2 linked regions of the Lonchura striata genome follow. Each later gene encodes a partner of the first gene's protein in a complex. Links are inferred from orthologs where the notes say so. Each region holds a gene or a part of one and is shown on either strand. Other genes may lie near its edges.

Region 1 (8,151 bases):
GAACCAAATCACATCTCCATTTACCAAGACCACTGCAAAGAAAACACAGACTGCAGATGCAAGCCAACAGAGAAGAGAGCAAGTCACTATCACAGACAGGCTTCATTCCACGGCAGATAAAAACCATGACACATGAGGGATGCTCTAAAGAGGGATTACACTGAGCAGCTGGTTAGGCTGAAGGGATGTCCTTGATTAAAGGCACATTAGTGTATGATCTGTCTCAAGCAATAGCCTCAGGTGAGACTGGCACCAAGGTCAGCCACATTGTCTGAAGATCTGTGATGACTCTGATGGATGTGATGGGCCAAAAAGGGGTCTTACTCTGACAAATTGTACTGGGTCTGGCAAGGACAGAGTTACCTTTCTTCAAAGCAGTCTGTGTTCTTCTTTGGGTCTGTGACTAATAGACAACACACCCACACCCTGATATTGCTAAGCAGCACTTGGAACAGCATCAGGATTTCTTTTTTCCCTCTCTGCCTCCAACATGAGCAGACTGAGGTGGGCAAGAAGCTGAGAGTGGACACAGCTGGGACAGCTGACCTTAACTGACCAAAGGAATGTCCCCTTGTATCATATAATGTCATCCTCAGCAAAAGTAATGCTGACTCCTCCAATTCTCCACTACATTCTCCTGCCATTCTCTACTACAGAGTTAGTCAACTTCCACAGCTGAGTCATCAGATTCACTTCTAGGTAGTCCCTATGATATCTTTTTGGATTCTTGATGTCAGGTTACATATTTTCATAGCCTGTGATACAGAAACTTTCTGTCTTGACATGGGTAATCCCTGAGTTCCTTTAAACTCACTGGTAATTACCATCTAATTTTAGAGACTCACTGGCTTTTGTATTTTTTTTTCCTCTTTCTTGAACAACATAATTCACAATAATCAACCTTGAGACTGTTCATGGTGTGTGCAAAGATTTCACACAGGACCCTCCCTCAAGTTTCTTAGTATTGCCATGATTGTCCTAAGTGTTCCTTCTCTATTTTTGCATTATAGACTTCCTGACAAGCTGTTCCATTTCTGAAGTTTCATGTTTCTTCCAACTTTGAGAAGTTATTAATCAAACTAATCTGATATTGTTTGATTTGTTTTTTCACTTTTCTATTTGAACACACATTTTGAAAGACACCTGACTTCTTCATCTTGTGACTTTTCTTCTAAGAGTTCCCTTTAGCCTTCTCAAATGGAGCTTTGAAAATAGAGGCACATTTGCAGAAAGCTTGCCTCTTTAAATGGCCATTACTGAAGCTGGACACAAACATAACATCACATTTCCTTTCACTTTGTTGCTTGACCATAAAAACAGCATTTTATTTTTATCATACCACTATCCATTCCCAGGGTAACCCCCTTTCACAGAAACTGGTTGTAAAGCAGAATGTGGATAAGGTTAAGTATGCCTTGAAGCATAAATTTTGTTGAGACCTGACCCCATTATTTTTCCAGATCTGGGTTCCCAGTAAAAGAGTGATATTGTAGTGAGCACAGAGAACTTTCCACTTGTCCTAGGGTGACTTTATGGTGTTTGTATTCCCAATCATGTGTTCTGTTTATGTTTGATATTATCTTCTGTGCTTTCAGAACTGACTCTGAAAGTGAAGGTTTGTTTTGTCTTGTTATCAGCCGGCTCACCTCCCCCCCACCCCCGGTCTGTTGTCTAGGAGAGGCTAATGCTTGCTGGCTGGCCTGGCCTGCTTGCTTGCTCTTGCTCCTCCTTTTGCTTTTGCCTTTGCTTTTGCTTATTAGTTAGTTTAATTAAGGAGTCCAATCTTTTTTATTCTGAACTGGTTTTTTTCTTTCCCTTTCCTGAGTATCATTCCAACCTGCTCTGGACTGGAACCTGGGAAACACCGAGGAACACCGAGAGCCTGCGTTTGGGGATCTGCAGCAGCCATCCCCAGTGCCAGAGACCAAGAACTGGGCAACCACTCCCAGGAGAGACTTTCTGAATTTGAATTTGTCATCTCTTCAGAGCAGTGAAAGAGTTTTTGTCATCTGGTGTTTTGGGGGTTTTTTTTGTTTGTTTTTTTTTGTTTTTTTTGGTGCTGGGAAGTGTTTTGCTTGTTAAATAAACAGTTTTTTTCCCTCTTCTCTCTGAGGAAATTCTTCCCGAACCGGGGGGGGGGGGGGGGGGGGGGGGAGGGGCTGTGGGTGGGTTTGCTTTCTGGGGGCTCCTTCTGGAGTTTTTCTCCCAAATTTGCCCTAAACCAGGACACCACTAAAGGACACTAAAGTGATTAGAGAGTGGGACAATCTGACCTATGAGGAGATGGTGAGGCAGCTGGAGGAAAGGCTTGGTGGGGATCATATCAAAGGAATTGTTTAGCCCAAGGAGGAAAGGCTCAAAGTGGGGATCATATCAAAGTGAATAAATACAAGATGGGTCCAAATTCTTCTCAATGGATCCAATATCAGGATAAGAGGCAGCAGGCACAAATTAAAATGAAGAAATCCTATTTAAACATTATTTTTTTTTTTTAAGTGTGATAAGGCACTGGAGCATGTTGTGCAGTGAGGTTGTAGAGTCTCCATCCTTGAGGACATTAAAGCCTGATTTGACATGGTACTTGGCAATCTGCTCTAAGTGACCCTGCTTTGAGCAGCAGAGTGGACTAGATACCTCTACAAAGTTCATTCAACCTCAGCTATTCTATGTCTCTGAGATTCTATTTTCCTTATTCATCCTGTCACCCCTCCAAAAAAAAAAAAAAAAAAAAAAAAAAAGCCAAAAAGTCAAAAAGTCAACCTTAATCTTTTTCCATGTTACTTCAGTCTCCCTCTCCCTCCTGAATTTTCTCCCCAGTCCAATAGTAGACACACAGAAAAACACACAGTACCTGTGAAAAGAAAGAGGAGAGAGCCCCCCTTAGCTTGGCTGCAGCAGCCCTCTCCCCCACCATCACTGCTGTGGTTATTGCCACCAAGGAGGCATCAGGAAGGGGCACAGGCTGGGACCTGCCAGCAACTGGTGGAGATTAATTAATCCCTTTTTCTTCCTTTTCCTCTTACTTTCTTCCTGAACATGCTTGTCACAGGAAATGGTGAACCTTATGTTTGTCACAGGCAACATTCTACCATAATGGTGCTGTCACCTTTGGAGCAACAGAGATATGGGGGGAAATACAAGTCAAATAGATCCTTCAGAGGTCAGACTAAGGGCATCAGCTATATCACTACCCTAGATGCAGATGCAGATGGATTCAGACTGTCTACAAATCCCCTGCCCCTCAGTATGCAGTGGTAGTGCAGTATTTTAATTACAGCCCTGCTGAGATCCCATGAAGCCTGGTGTTATTGCTCTGCCTCCCTTGGGAATGCCAGCTGGTGCCTATCTCTGTTAAGAGCTAAAAGAGTCTGGCAAGCAGGCAGTGCTGAACTGGAAATTATGTAGGAATGCCTCAACTTGTAGGTGACAAGTTGCCAGGGAGTTGAATCCTCAGTCATGCTGATGTTAGGAGATGAGCTGCTTTGCTCCCAGGAAGAAATTAATTGTTTTAGTAGGAAAGGAGGCCAGTCCTCCATGAGCAGTGGGATGGTGACCTCACTCCCTAGTCTGTAAAGGCTTCATTTGAGGAAGGTACACATGGCTCTGTTTCAGCAGACTCACGACTTCTACACATCTGTCCCTGCTACTGGTGAGAATTATTCACTGCATGGCACCACCACTACCAGGGACAAGACCATGGGGACACTAACATCTCCCTTCATCTAGTGACACCCCTGAAAAAGTAATCTCCACGATGGGATCTGTTGGATGATTCCTCTCAAAGATGAGGTACTCTCTAATCTTTGGGAAGGAGAGAAGTCTGTTATATTTCTGCAGGATACTTACAGCAACCTAATTATGAAGCCTGGGTAGAAGAGAGTCAGTCACCTCACCCTCCATGGTAGTGTGCTAACTCCATGTTGCCAAAACATTTACACAAAAGTCCTGGGTTTGTTGAATGTATGCAATGCATCATGGTACATTTTCTTGCAAAGGCTTTTGGAAATTCAGGTAGCATATATCAACCAGATGACCAGATAATTTTTCATGTCTTTTCAACACTTGACAGAACTCAAGGGCAGGACTCCTTATGGGAGCAATGTTGGCTGAACAATTTGTATTTCTCTCAGCATCCCCTAATTCCGTTATTGCACAGATATTTCACGTATATTGCTCTTACCCATGGCAAGGGAGTTGGAACTAGATGACCTTTGAAGTCCCTTCCAACCCAAACCATGCTATATAATTCTAGGATTTCTACTAATTCACCTGGAACACATATAGAGCCTAGAGACCTGCACTTCCCCAGGACTCTACTGCAATCCCTTTCACAGACTGGCATCAGGTTTTCTATCATGAAATCTTCAGATACCAAGCCAAATTTGGAGTAGGAGGTTGTACAGTACCGCAAGTGATGTGGCTTCTTCATTCATTAATTTGATGAGAAAAAAAACAAAAACCAACAGGGTGAGCCACTTCGGTATTTGTAGGGTTTCGTACGTTCATCTCCACCACAATCTCTCCTACAGGTGCTCTTAGTGCAGACAGATCCTCAATGGAATGCTTTTCCAGAGGGGAAAAGCGCTCCCCGGCGGGGAATGCTGCCGCTGTGTCCCCGCGGCGGAGCTGGACAGCGGCCTCCGGCCCCGCCCGGCCCCGCCCCGCCGCCCCGCCCCGCCGGCCCGCGGCCACGCGGGGGGCAGCGGCGTGCAGCCGCGCCGCGGCTTTGAAAGGATGCTTTGGCTGCTTCCTTTTTCCTCCGCCTCAGCAGTTAATGCGTTTACCTCCTCACGCATCCATCACTAAGCCGCTGCTCCGCGATGCCCGGCGGGCGAGCGGCGTGGTCGCAGGGGCGCCGCGGCCGCGCCAGGTGGCCCCGCGCCCTCTTTGGCCGCAACATGGCGGGCAAGGAGCCCTTCGCGGCCGTGCTGTCCGCCCTGCGCCGCTGCTACGCCGAGGCCGTCCCGCTGGAGACCTTCGTCCGGCGGCTGGGGGACGGCGGCGCCGGGGACGCCGAGGTGCTGCGGGCCGACGACGCCCCCGGCTACCGCAACTTCGTGGGGCAGTGCCTCGTGTGCGTCCCCCGCGGCGCCCGCGCCATCCCGCGGCCCTTCTCCTTCCAGCAGGTAGGAAGGGGCCGGGGGCGAGGCCCGGCCGGGCTCCCGGGGACTGCGGGGCGGCGCGGCGGCCTTTGCCCCTGTTGGCGGCTGCCGGGCGGGCCCGGCCGGTCCCGCAGCCTCCTTCTCCGCTCCGTCCCGGCCGGAGCCGGCGGGGAGCGGTGGGAGCCAGCCCCCGCCTCTTGGCTGGGAGAGCAGGGCCCGGGTGCCGGCGTGGGGCGGCGGTCGCGCTGCGGGTCTGCGCGCGGCCCCTGGCGCCCGCCTGCCCCTGTGGGTACGGGGAACAAGGCGAAAGTGGCCGGGGAGCGACGGGGGATGGAGAGTGCCCCAGTCTTGAGAGAATGAAGAAGAGGCGGGTAGAACGCGCTGCAGGTCGTTGTTTAAGCGGAGGAAAAGCTTTTCAGAGAGGGAAGACCGCTTTTTTTCTAGCGCCATATGAGCAAAACTGTGCTGTGGTAGGAAGCAGATGTTGCCAACCCAGGGCAACTTGTTAAATGGGTTTTGGAAGTGTGTGCCGAGTCGTTTAGTTGAATTTTCCTTTACATGAAAGGAAGTGGAGGCCTCAAGAAAATTAGCGTTAGTTCCCTGGAGGTTGGAGCCTGCGCGAGCACGTATGCGTGCCTGCGAACATGGATCTGCGAACACGGATTCATTGGAGGCCGTGGAGTCTGAGCTGCTGTGGGTCTTAGGGGGAATAGTGCAGGGCGTTTCCTGGGCATAAAAGCCAGGATCAAAAGGGCAGGTGTTAAAAAGACTACCTTCAAGTCATCGGCTTACGTTGCTGCATATGAACATCTTGCATTACGCTTGGAAAATCTTAATTTTTGAGTGTGATGCATGTGAATAATTAATACTGCTTTCAAAGCTGATGTCTGGGGCTGTGTAACTTTGCATGTGTTTATATTTAAAGGGTATATTGTGGTTTATGGAGGAGTAAGTGGAAAAAGCTAATTATCTTTTTTCTTTCTTTCTTCAGTTATCTAGTCAGAGTGAGGTCACCGCAAGAGTTGTTCAGAGACTGTGTGAAAAAAAGAAGAAGAATATCCTCGCGTATGGATACTCCTTACCAGATGAAAACAGTTCTCAATTCCCAGTCATGCCACTTTCAAAGATACACAGCTACCTACCCAATACTGCCACAGAAACTCTTTGTATCAGCGGCTTCTGGGAGACACTGTTGAGCCGGATAGGGGATGATGTGATGATGTATTTATTGGAACACTGTGCAATCTTTATGTTGGTTCCCCCTAATAATTGCTACCAGGTTTGTGGACAACCAGTTTATGAACTTATTTCACATAGTGTAGACTCATCCCTGGTATTTGTTAGACAAAGGTTCTCAAAATATAAACGTACTAGCTTGCTGAAATATATGCAAAAAAGGCTTATCTTTCATAGAAATTATCTTTTAAAGTCAAACAGACAAAGATATGAAGATAATGTCTCCAGGATGAGAAATGAAAGAAAGAACAAGAGACGAAGCTTAGGGCCCACTGACCAGAGTTCTGCAAAAACCGTTTCTAAAGGAAGCAAACAGATCAGAATGGTTACTGAAGCTCAGGAAAAACAGAGTAGCTCCAGTTCATGTGTTTCAGCCGCAGCTCCGTCTCTAAAAAGGAAGATTCATAGAGAACAATTTGAAATTCCAGCCAAGAGGGCAAAAATAGGAGAGAAAGTGAGAGAGGAAAAGGCTTGTAGTCTTGTTCCTGATGTAAACCAAAGTAGTTCCGAGAGATCTGAAACTGGGTATGTAGCAGCACATTCTGCAAGTGTCATTAAAACCCCCTGTATTTCTGAAAGAAGTAACAGTGCTGTGTCTGGTCCTTCTTTAGTTCACACATCTTGTGGCAGGAGGAAATTTGTGGCAGTCTCTCTTCTGCAGAGATTTCAGAGTAACAAACCTCTAGAGTCCAACACTGAAATGCAAGCAGAATCCCATAGGAAAAGAGTAGAGATGCGTACATATGAATCTCAGTTGGCTTCAGGACAAACCAAACCAGTGGAGGGTTCAAAATGCAGAGAGCAGGAAAGTCCCCAACCTCATTTATCAAAGAAGTTACCAAAGAGACTCCTGAGTTCTGCAACATACATTGAGAGGAAGTCTCTTCTGTACTCTTGCAGGAGTTTCCAAGAATGTTTTCCTAAATCATTTGTATTGAATCGCTTGCAAGGTTCTCAGGCAGGTGGAAGACAGCTTGTAGAAGCTATATTCTTAAGCCAGAATCAGGTGCAGCAAAGGCATAACCAAAGTCTGCCAAAACACAAGCGAAGAAAGAAGACATTGCCCAAACGTTACTGGCAAATGAGACATATATTTCAGAAACTGCTATTGAACCATGGGAAGTGTGCTTACTCAGCTCTCTTGAAAAAAAATTGCCCTGTTTGGATATCTGAAATCAGTATGACAAAAACCAAGCTGTCTTGTCAGGTGGCCTTGTCTGAGGAAGCAGAGGTTCAGAAGCAAGAGGAACAGTCTGGGAAAGAGCCTGCTAAGTGTGCGACAAGCAGCAGATGTGAATCTGGTCACAATGATGTGCCAGACAACTTAGGTGCTCCCTTGGCAGAATCTGCGCGTGGGGAGTTGCTGCCGAGTGAGGAACAAAACCCACGAGAGGCATGTGATTCAGCCCTCGCAGAGCTCCTCAAGCAGCACAGCAGCCACTGGCAGGTGTACATGTTTGTGAGGGATTGCCTGGAGAAGGTCATTCCTGCTGAGCTTTGGGGTTCAAACCACAACAAGTGCCGGTTCCTAAAAAATGTCAAAGTGTTCATTTCCAGGGGGAGGTTTGCTAAGGTTTCGTTGAAGGAGTTGATGTGGAGGATGAGAGTTAATGACTGCATGTGGCTTCGTCTAGGCAAAGGTATTTCTTATATTGAAGAACTACGTGGTGGGGCTGTCAGATAAGTGGTGATCTTGTTTAAGGTGGGAAGGGGAGGATATTGAATCTGGACTCAGAATTGCTGAGTTCATTGGTAATAACCATAGCTTAAGCTTGTCTTCCTTGAAAAAGTCATTTGCATACATGCTATCTGT
Region 2 (5,891 bases), on another chromosome or scaffold:
CCATGGCAGGGGGCTCAGCTGTCTCCCCACAGCCTGGCTCCTCCTCATGGGCTCCAGCTCCCTCCTGGCCTTGGAACGGGGACGTGGCTCCTGTGCCCTGGGCTGCGGTGCCATCTCTGGCTCTCTGCCGCTCTGCAGGCCTCTCGGGAAACGCTGCTTTCTGCAGTAAGGTTCCTGAAGAGAAGGGATCTTCAGCAGCTGCTGAAGACGGATCAGATGTGGAGCTTTGCCGAGCGCTTGGTAAGCACAGCCCGGAAGCCCCAGCCCCGGCCTGGAGAAGCCGCCTGCCCACGGTGCCCAGTCTGTGCCCTGGCAGCTGCGGCCCCTGCCCAGTGCTGCCCGCAGGGGCACCGGCCGGCGCCCCACACGCCGCTGCCTTCCCTGGGCCGCGCGGGCTCTGCTCCAGGCTCCTCTGGCCCCAAGGCCGGTGCTGAGGGAGCCCCGAGGCAGCCGGGCTCTGCCGCGGGGCGGCACCGCGGCTCGCCGGGCCCTCTGCTCCCTGCAGAGCCCGGCGCCGGCGGCTGCTGGCCGGGCCTCGGCGCTGTGTGGGCAGGGGGAGCGGCGCCGGGCGGAGGGAGCGCCAGGCCGAGGGGCAGGGCCCGCACCAACCCTTCCCTTCGTGCCCCGCCGCTCTCTGCAGCTGGCAGAGGACAGGAGCCGAGCGGCCGAGCACCTGCGCCGGGCCCTGCCCTACGTGCAGAGCCCACAGGAGCCCCTGCGAGAGGCGGCCGTCAGGTTCATGGGTGAGCCACGAGCCCGGCTCCTTCCCCGCCCCGCCGCAGCTCGGCCCCAGCCCCGCCTGCTGCCCCGGCAGCAGCATCCGCGCTCGGCCATCTGGAGCCCCGCCTGGCCTCGGCGCTGCCGCCGCCCTCTGGCAGCCGTGCCCTGGGGCAGCAGGATGCGCCAGGGGCCCGGGCTGAGCCCTGCCGGGCCAGGAGCCCGTGTGGCCTCGGGCCGGGCAGCGCCCGCGGGCGGCAGCTGTGGCTCTGAAGCCAGCTCACGCTCTCTGTTCCCAAGGGATGGCCGGGCGCTGCCTCAGAGGACAGCAGCAAGAGTTCCGCATCCTCTGCAGGGGTGAGTGAGGCCAGCGGGCTCTCAGCGGGGGCTGCCGCTGGCAGCTGCCTTCCCTGGCCCGGCACGCACCAAGGGCAGCGTGGGCACAGCACACAGACCTTTTGGGGGGCCTGTGGCACATTCGTGGCCAGCACCTTCCAGCTCGCCCTTCTTGTCTCCTGCTTCCTCCAGGCCATGGCAAGAGCTGCCTGGCATGGACGTGGCAGGAGGGTCTCCCCATGTTTCTGCAGACGCAGGCTCTGACGGTGGCTCTGTTCCTCTCTCTCGTAGCCCTTCAGGACATGGCGGATGACGTCAGCCCTGCCATCTCATGCCTGGCCCTTCAAACCCTGTACATCAATTTAGCTGTACAGGCCATTCCCTCCTCCCGACTCCAGAATGTGCAGGATCAACTCCGCCGGCTCTGGAAGTCACGGCCTTTCCCGTGCCGCCGTGGCTGGCTGTCCTGCTGCAGCGCTGTGGAGAACTGATCCGCCAGGCTGCGTCTGCTGGGGCCACCTGAGCCTGCGAGGAACAACTGCCCTCTGCAAGCCCTTCCTTTCACCCCAGAGTAGCATTAATAAATTGTTGTTGTCATACCCGGAGGTCCAGGAGCTTTCTCTTGGTGCCCAGATTTTTCAGGCCAATGGGGAGGAGGGGAAAAAGGGCGCTTGCACTCGGCAAGTTGCCCAAGCCTGTGGTGGGCAAGGGAAAGTGGCCAAAAGCCTTTTGGCCTTTGGTGATCCTTTGGTTGAATGTTTTTCTTCCTGCATCAAGTCTTCGGGAGCTATGGGAACAAGTGTGTTCTGTGTCCATGGAACAGCAGAAAACGCCAAGATGTGTCTTCTTCCAGCACTTCTCTTGGCTCTTCCTTCACACTGCTGGCACCGTCATCAGAGACATGGAACAGCTTCTCTCATGCCAGCGTTATCCCAATCTTCTGCACTTCCCCAGGTTCCTCCCAGCTTCAGCAGGGAAATTCTCTGCTCGTGCCTGTCCATTCCCTTGCCCAGAAGGCAGCACCCACTTGTCTTTGGACATGAGCTGCTGGCCACAACCTGACAGGCAGCAACTGGAGCATTGCGCATCAGATGCTGGGCTGATGTTCTTTCCCAGAAAGCAAGAAAAAACAGAAGGACACAAGGAAACTTGACACTATATCTGTAAGAATGTCATTGTCCTCTGGAAGTCAACAGTGGATGGTGTTTTTGTGTCGCAGATTATCACTTCCAAGCAAAAATCATTCTAGGAAGGAGCAACAGCTTTTGACAGATACCAAGTGCGGCTACCAAGTGCTGCTCCAGGTGCTCCTGCCTGCAGCCACCTGCAGAAATGATCACAATTAGAGAACACCATGCTAAATTAACGAGGACAATTAGGGAACAGCATGTTAATTTCAGGAGCACAATTAGAGATCACCATGTCAAATTTCACGAGGACAGTTAAGAAACACCATGTTAATTCAAGGAGGACAATTAGAGAGCATCGTGTTAAAATTAATGAGGCCAATTAGAGAACACTGTGTTAATTTCAGGAGCACAATTAGAGAACACCATGCTAAATTCACGAGGACAATTAGAGAATATCATGTCAAAATTAACAAGGACAATTAAGGAGCTCTGTGTTAAAAATAACAAGGATAATTAGAGAACACCATGTTAATTTAAGGAGGTAAATGAGAGAACACCATGTTATTTTAATGAAGATAATTAGAGAATACCATGTTAATTTAATGAGTTCAATTAGAGAATACCATGTTAATGTAGGAGGACAATTAGAGAACACCATGTTAAAATTAACAAGGATAATTAGAGATCACCATGTTAATTTCAGGAGCACATACTAAAATATCATCAGAGGCTGTGAAACAGCAGGGCGGAGACACAAGAATAAATAAAATAAAAAAGTAAAACCAAAAAAACCAAAACAAAATAAAATAAAATAATATAAAGTAAAATAAAATAAATTAAAATAAATTAAAATAAAATAAAATAAAATAAAATAAAATAATAAATCCTAACCCTCAGGATGTCTTTGAGCCGGAGAGTGAAGGAGTCAGGCAAAGGAGCTCCCAAAACCTCAGAAATTTTAAAGAATGTTTGAAAACTGAAAATCGCAGATTATATGACTGGCTTTTGGCAAATATTAAAATTAATACATGATGTGTTATGTTGGAAAGATATGCAGTATTAATCTCTTAAATTTGGCTGTAATAATATTTTTTAAATTTGGCTGTATTAATCTCTTTTTCATTTTAATAGCGCAGTATTAATCTCTTTTAAGTTTTGCTGTATTAATCTCTTAAATTTGGCTGCATTCATCTCTTAAATTTCTCCTGTATTAATATCTTTTCAGTTTTGCTGTATTAGTATTTTTAAACTTTTTCCTGTATTAATCTCTTTTAAGTTTTTCCTGCACTAATCTCTTTTAAATTTTTCCTGTATTAATCTCTTTTCAGTTTTGCTGTATTAATCTCTTTTAAATTTTTCCTGTATTAACCTCTTTTAAATTTTGCTGCATTAATCTCGTTTAAGTTTTCCCATATTAATCTCTTCTAAATTCTTCCTATATTAATCTCTTTTCAGTTTTTCCTCTATTAATCTCCTTTAAGTTTTGCTGTACTAATATTTTAAATTTGCCTGTATTAATCTCTTTTATTAACCTCTTTTACATTTTTCCTGTATTAATCTCTTCTAAATTTTTCCTGTATTAATCTATTTTAATTTTTTTCCTGTATTCATCTCTTTTCAGCAGTGTGGCACATACACTTTTTAGCCTAGAGGACAATATTAAAAGAACAGCAACAGACACCAAAATCTCAAAAAAAAAAAAAACCCAAAACATTGTTGCCTCCTTCTCTGGAAATCTCAGATTTTCAAAGATTGATTTACGAGTAAAAGTAAAACTCCTAAAATTTCAACACAACGAGTTTTTCACAAATAACAAAATCATGACTATGCACACGCCTCAGCGCTGTCACCCTGCTGGAATTATTCTCCTTTTTTTATCCTATTACTGTTATTCTTATTATTAATAAACTTTAAAAACTCCAAACCGTCAATTCTGTTCCTCACACTTTCAGACCCAAACTTCCTTACTTTGAACCCAAACTCACTTTTCACACCAAAATTTTCCCCCTGCCTCCCTGGGTTGAATTTTTAAGGTCAGACTCCCATTTTTTAAAAATCCAGATTCTCCTTTTTAGGTCCAAACTGCTCCATTTTTCTGCTCAAACCCTGAATTATGGCCCAAATTCTCCATTTTTGGACCCAAACTCCCCCTTCTGGGGTCCAGACTTCCCATCTGGGCACCGAAATTCCCCTTTATGAGGCACAAATTCCCAAGATTTTTTTGTCCAAATTCTCCCTTTTTGAAACCGAATTTCCCTTTTTCGGTCCAAATTTCCCCTTTTTCTTGCCCAAATCCCCTTTTTGGGCCCAAATTCTCTCTTTTTGGACCCAAATCCCCCTTTTTGAGCCCAAACTTTCCCTTCCTGGACACAAATTCCTTCTTTCTGTGCCCAAATTCCTCCTTTTTAGACCCAAACTCCCGTTTTCACCCCAAAATCTCCTTTTTTGGCCCCAAATTTCCCCGCTCGGACCCGCCAGGTTGAGTGGTACTCCCCGCTCGCTTCCGGAACTGCATTTCCCATCACCCCTCTCTCCAATTTCCGGTGTAAACACCGCCTTCTTTCCTTTTCTCTTGAGGCGACTTCCGGCCGGGTGCCGCGCTGGCGCCGCCATGTTCCTGCAGTGCTACGAGAACGAGCGCGGGGAGCGCGTCTACACCCTGCGGGTACTGGGCGCTTTTTGGGGCGCTTTTGGGGGGATTTAGGGGATGGCTCTGAGGGGACCCGCGGTGTTTGGGTGTCCGCGGTGCGGGCTGGGGCCATGCGGGCCAGTTGGACTGTGCTGAGGGGGGGATTTGGGCTCTCCCTGACGCTCTGTCCCCACAGAAGGTGTCCCCGGACGGGGTCCCCACTCGCTCGGCGCACCCCGCCCGCTTCTCCCCCGATGATAAATTCTCCCGGCACCGCCTGGCCCTGAAGCGGCGCTTCGGGGTTTTGCCAACGCAGCGAGGCCGGACCGTGCTCTGAGGCACCGCAGAGATCCGCTGCGGAGCCCCGAGATGGCCCCGAGCTCCTGGGACGGATCTCCGCCATGAGAAAAGGTCAAATCGCCATGCCAGCGGACTGCACGGAAATGGGGGGGAAAGGAACGTTTTAAAGAGGAGGAAAAATGAAGTATTAAAAGTCGAGGGTCTCTGAGTTTTGGTATCCAAATACCTTGGGTTTTTTTTCCTGTTTTGGGGGTATTTTTGTGGTTTTTAGGGTCTGGGGAGGGAATTTAGAGGGGTATTGGGGGAAGCGCTAACGGGGCTCTATGGGGCGCGGGTATAACAGGGCTCTATGGGGCGCGGGGGATGATGGGAGTTGTAGGTGCGGGTATAACTGGGCTCTATGGGGCGCGGGGGATGATGGGAGTTGTAGGTGCGGGTATAATTGGGCTCTATGGGGCGCGGGGGATGACGGGAGATGGAGTCGCTGCTTTAATGGAGCTGAATGAGACCGCGAGGCATCACGGGAAGTGGAGGCATGGCAGTAAATGCGCGCGATGGGCGCCGCGAGGTATGATGGGAGCTGTAGTCCCGGAAGTGGCTGTAGCGGAGCGGTTGGGGGTCCGGGAGGGCACTTGTGGGTCTACAGGGGCACCCTGTGGGGTCGGGAAGCCCCTGGGGGCACCCGGGGAGCTCTGAGGGGTGTCTGTGGGGCGCAGGACGCGACGGGAATTGTCGGGCCTGAACTCGGCTCTGAGGAGGCTCTGTGGCCGCGGGGCATG

The links.
Region 2: TERT (region 1) and NOP10 share a complex: the UniProt entries of both Homo sapiens proteins name them as parts of the telomerase holoenzyme complex. The link is inferred for Lonchura striata from reciprocal best matches to the Homo sapiens genes TERT and NOP10.

Annotation. Positions count from the first base shown.
Region 1 is NC_134603.1:64,359,778-64,367,928, forward strand, and holds the start of TERT (telomerase reverse transcriptase), read left to right. Parts: upstream 1-4,859; 5' UTR 4,860-4,898; coding exon 4,899-5,126; intron 5,127-6,093; coding exon 6,094-7,978; intron 7,979-8,151. UniProt on the Homo sapiens protein: Telomerase is a ribonucleoprotein enzyme essential for the replication of chromosome termini in most eukaryotes. Active in progenitor and cancer cells. Inactive, or very low activity, in normal somatic cells.
Region 2 is NC_134639.1:2,432,295-2,438,185, reverse strand, and holds NOP10 (H/ACA ribonucleoprotein complex subunit 3), read left to right. Parts: upstream 1-4,752; 5' UTR 4,753-4,794; coding exon 4,795-4,848; intron 4,849-5,008; coding exon 5,009-5,149; 3' UTR 5,150-5,320; downstream 5,321-5,891. UniProt on the Homo sapiens protein: Required for ribosome biogenesis and telomere maintenance. Part of the H/ACA small nucleolar ribonucleoprotein (H/ACA snoRNP) complex, which catalyzes pseudouridylation of rRNA.